2 linked regions of the Kluyveromyces lactis genome follow. Each later gene encodes a partner of the first gene's protein in a complex. Links are inferred from orthologs where the notes say so. Each region holds a gene or a part of one and is shown in the gene's direction. Other genes may lie near its edges. The genes, in order: RPP1A and RPL38.

Region 1 (2,510 bases):
AAAGAACCCGGCTTTACCCAGTGATGATTTGAAATATACTTTGTACAAAAATGGAGCAGAATGTCCAATATGTTTCCTCTACTTTCCTAAGCCTTTGAATATTTCCAGATGTTGCAAGCAACCGATCTGTACTGAATGCTTCGTCCAAATCAAGCGTGCCGCACCACACTTCCCGCATGAAGAGGTAGATCCAACTCAAGATCAAGAACCGGACGAATTGAAGGATCCCAACCTTCTTGTCAGTGAACCTGCCAATTGCCCTTACTGTGCCACTGCAGAGTTTGGTGTAACATACGAACCGCGCAGGGACGTGCGGACTGGAATCAACGGGATCTACGCTTCCGAATACAAGATTGCCGAATACAAGGACCGTGAAGGCCTAGTATCGGATTCTAGCAGCAATGAAGATGACGAACTCGTAACTATAGAACAAATTCGTAGGGGCTCAATAGCAGCCGATGATCCGTCTGTGATAACATCCGATTCTATAAGACCTGACTGGGAGATCAATCTAACCAAAGAAAGATTAAGACTCGCTAGAAGATCAGCAAAAGCTACTGCAATACACATGAGTAATCAATTAATTGATCCCGAACACCCTTCTAGACACGCATCCATTTCTTCTTCAGTTGGAGGCCCTGACGGAGGGAATAGTCCTCAACGTCGTCAGAAAACATTAGAAGAACTGGATGACGAAATGCTCCAACAAGCAATCAAACTAAGTTTGCAGGATCATTAACCTAATTTGGAGCTTATTTCATGAACTGAAAGCATTTTCTCCTGCACTGCTGTCTCCTTCATTACCTTCACGACTAACGACAGATACAATCAACACATTCGCAAATTACTTCACTTTGCATGCATCTTTTAACAATCCCATAACTTTCGCATCATACCTTAAGATACAAGGTACACTCATCAGTAACACTGCGCGCGAGTATATATATGTTTATAAAACATAGAATATTATGTGGAATATAGCACCCATCTGCGGACTCACTCCGACTCAATATCAGGGATTCTCCCTTGTACATCTACGCTGACTCTGTACATCCAGCGTTTCATGCAGAAACATTATATCACATCACACGAATTATCATGCCTGACGAAACCACGCAGCTTTTCCTGAAATTTTTCACCTTTCCACGATGAGATGTGAAATATCAATAAAACTTACAGGAGTAACCATTTAACATTTCGATAGGAAAAGTATTTGTTTTACACATGATGGCATTTGTTCAATTTGAAGCTTCTTTTATGAAATATTCTTATTACTTATATCGTTTTATTATTTAGTTTCTCTTATTTTCAAAGGACCAAAGAAATAGTCTGCTTCATTACGAGCTTAATCTGATTATCTCTACACTTGCCAGAACCAGGAAATTTTACATTAGAAATGTCTGTTGAAACTGCTTTGTCTTACGCTGCTTTGATCTTGGCTGATGCTGATATCGAAGTCTCTTCTGAAAAGTTGTTGGCTTTGACTGAAGCTGCCAACGTCCCAGTTGAAGGTATCTGGGCTGATATCTTTGCTAAGGCTTTGGCTAAGCAAAACATCAAGGACTTGTTGGTCAAGTTCGAAGCTGGTGCTGGTGGTGCTGCTCCAGTTGCTACTGGTGGTGCTGCTGCCGGTGCCGAAGAAGCTGCTGCTGAAGAAAAGGAAGAAGAAGCCAAGGAAGAATCCGATGATGACATGGGTTTCGGTTTGTTCGATTAAATTAGGTTAACTTTTAACATAGGAGGAATAAATTCTGTTTTTATTACTAGCGCATTAAGCTACTACTTACTACGTTAAATTTGAGAATCAAATAACACATCATTTGAGTGTATACACAAATATGTATATATAATCAACCGTTTTTAATACACAAACGTCCAATCTTCAAAGCATCTCATCACTAGTGACACTTTGAAATATAAGTAGGATCGTATAAGGTTCCATAATATCATTAGACAAATTGATAATCTGATAATTTGAATTAGATGTAAAATATTATAGTTTATACGTTTTTTTACACGGTAGACAATGTCTCATAATTACCAAACAGGAAACTTATTGAGAAAGGGGATGCGGTGACATTAATTCTTAATGACGGAAAGATAATTTGATTAAAAGATATTTATAAAATAAAACAACGTTTTGTCTAGTATTTGAATAAAAGGTATGGAGTTGCTTATTTCTTCTTTTCAGCTTCAGCTTCAGCCTTGTCCTTAGCTCTCTTTTCTCTGATACCCTTGTATCTCTTGTCGGATCTAGCCAATCTCAAAGTTCTGTAAGCAGATTCACCGTTGTCTTCAACAGCTCTGGTTTCAGAGTCAGTAACTGGTTGGACAATTGGGAAAGAGGCAGCAGCAGACAAAGTTTGTTCAGCTTCTGGAGCCTTACCCTTTCTTGGGAAGACGATGATCTTAGATTGGTATTCCTTCAATCTTTGGATGTTCAAGTCCAAGATTTCTTGGTTTCTGTTTTGACGTCTGTGGTCGACAGCAATACCAATGGTTCTGGCGTA
Region 2 (2,516 bases), on another chromosome or scaffold:
AGGACAACAAGGACATACCGCACAAATATGACTTAGAGTTGACCAAGAAAGAAGTCACGAACGAGTACGTATTCACTGAACAAAATTTGAAGAAATATCAGCAGTTTGCCAAGGAATTGGAGTCGAACCCCGAGTTGCAAAGACAGGCATACATAAGGAAACAAGAAAGAGAGGAAGAGATGAAGAAAAAACAGCAGCAGATGAAGCGTAAGTACAACAAGAGAAGGTTTCAGCACCGTGTCATGACGGATAGGGACGGTAGAGATAGATACATCCCGTACGTGAAGACTATTCCGAAGAAAACTGCAGTGACGGGGAAAGTGTACCACGAATGTCAAGTGATGCCCTCGATAGACGATCCAAATTACCATACAATTGTGGAACATAGAAGACAAATCGTTAGAAACATCCACAAACCAACGGTTACGGTGCTTGACCAAACTCCTGGTGTCACTATGAGTAACGCCGGTATGTCGATGAGATCCGACACTTCCAAGTTCTTAAAAGTTGGAAAGGAAAAGAAGAACAACGCAAGGGCTATCCGTTTGCCAAAGAAGGAACTTTTGGATCTATTGTTCAAGTTGTTTGATGAATACGATTATTGGTCCTTGAAAGGTTTGAAGGAGAGAACAAGACAACCAGAAGCATATTTAAAGGAATCGCTAGATCAAGTTGCTATGCTTGTGAAAAAGGGTCCGTATGCCTTGAAATATACTTTAAAATCGGAATATAAAAAGTTGAAGGAAGCTGAAAGAGCTGCTACGCTTGGTGAATTGGCACAACACGCTGATCCAGAACAACAGCAGCAGATTCAAGACCAATTTGATCAACAACAACAACAGGAGAACGAGCAAGAGGAGGAAGACTTGGAAGACGTGGAAATGGAGGATGTGTTGTAGAACCCTTCAAACATAGTATATATATATATATATATATATATATATACACATAATCATGCCCCACCGGTTATCTAGTAAATGAATGGATATCTTATTCATGATGCTGGCATGTCTAGTCCTGTGATGTATTCTTGTGACCTGAACCAATAGTAGGATTAAAGAATTCAAATCACGTGATTAACAAAGGACTGTCCATTGTTAAAATAACACCCATACACTCCAAACACTGAAAAATAAAAACCCACACATCCGGATACAAAACGAGAAAATTCTCAATTGGGTAGTATAATACTCAAAGAAACCCAAAAAATCTCTAAAAGCCAACCTCCTGACACCCACACACCATCAACTAAACTTTTCACCAATCTCATCGACTGTGCTCATTGAGTATTGTGCAATTGGCAAGCCAGTAAACGTTTAGTTTCGAACAACTTTCGACAGTTTTAACGTTTTAGATTTTAACATTTGTCGTTAATAGTGGTGTTTTGTATATGTCCATTTAGTGTTTTTTTGATGTTTAGCGTTTTTTACATTGTATTATCGGTTCTTGTTTAGTATTCTTTATAACTTTTAATTACAGTTTATTAACTCTTTTGTCTTAATAGTTTCTGTGAATCTCCAAGCATCAACAACTAGGAAGTACATTAACAAAAATGGCTAAGGAAATCGCTGATATTAAGGAATTCTTGGAATTGATCAGAAGACAAGATGTCAACTCTGCTACCGTCAAGATCAACAAGAAGTTGAACAAGAACGGTAAGGCTTTCAGACAAACCAAGTTCAAGCTAAGAGGTTCCAGATACTTGTACACCTTGATTGTTAACGATGCTGGTAAGGCCAAGAAATTGTTGCAATCTTTGCCACCAACTTTCAACGTTAACAAGTTGTAAGGGTAGTCTAGAGAGACACTAATACTTTCTTTAATACCATATCAACTGTTTTTTTTGGAAATTCCACCAATCGTCTGTTTCAACCCATGGTGTGGGGTAAGTACTCTTATTGAATTGAATTTAAATTGAATTTGAATTGATTTAATTACCAGCACTTTGTACTGGCAATTTTTACCTGAGGAACGAACCATCCAGATTGAAATGAACAAACTCGTCAAATAAGTTATAATAAACGCATACTTTTTATCTGCATTCTTTCATTGATGAGACGATAAGATTACTACTCTAATGATGATAATACAGCTTGTATTAAGCGTCCAGTGGTAGGTTTTTTTTACCTGTGTTAATTGTCTTTGCGAGCTTTTAAAGTTTTATTTTGGGCTTCACAAGGAAAAATGACTGAGGTTATACACAGTATGAATTTTCCCTGGTATTATTAGTACAAGCTCTGTTATATCGTCATTATCACTGCATGATTATTATCTCATCTATTTTTTTTATTTGTTTTTGGTATATATGAGTATATAGGTGTGCTTTAAGCACGCTATTCGATACGAGTTGGAAACTCAGGGGACAGGCATACTTCGCTGTGAAATGCTACCTTGGAGTATCGTCGGAAGATGCAAGATTTGATTCGGTGACCCTGGATTTAAGATCTCCAGATGTGTCTGTTGAACGTTGGAAATTCTCATTCGGACTTTCTTCTATCACTTCAGAGTTATCGTCT

What was found.
Region 2: RPP1A (region 1) and RPL38 share a complex: the UniProt entries of both Saccharomyces cerevisiae proteins name them as parts of the large ribosomal subunit. The link is inferred for Kluyveromyces lactis from reciprocal best matches to the Saccharomyces cerevisiae genes RPP1A and RPL38.

Annotation. Positions count from the first base shown.
Region 1 is NC_006041.1:1,966,522-1,969,031, reverse strand, and holds RPP1A (ribosomal protein P1), read left to right. Parts: upstream 1-1,396; coding exon 1,397-1,717; downstream 1,718-2,510. Other genes in the region: SIP5 (Sip5p), read left to right, coding at 1-739; KLLA0_E22001g (60S ribosomal protein eL13), read right to left, coding at 2,175-2,510. UniProt on the Saccharomyces cerevisiae protein: Component of the ribosome, a large ribonucleoprotein complex responsible for the synthesis of proteins in the cell.
Region 2 is NC_006039.1:1,608,990-1,611,505, forward strand, and holds RPL38 (60S ribosomal protein eL38), read left to right. Parts: upstream 1-1,552; coding exon 1,553-1,789; downstream 1,790-2,516. Other genes in the region: transcription factor IIF subunit TFG2, read left to right, coding at 1-899; KLLA0_C18238g (PEX28-32 family peroxisomal membrane protein), read right to left, coding at 2,387-2,516. UniProt on the Saccharomyces cerevisiae protein: Component of the ribosome, a large ribonucleoprotein complex responsible for the synthesis of proteins in the cell.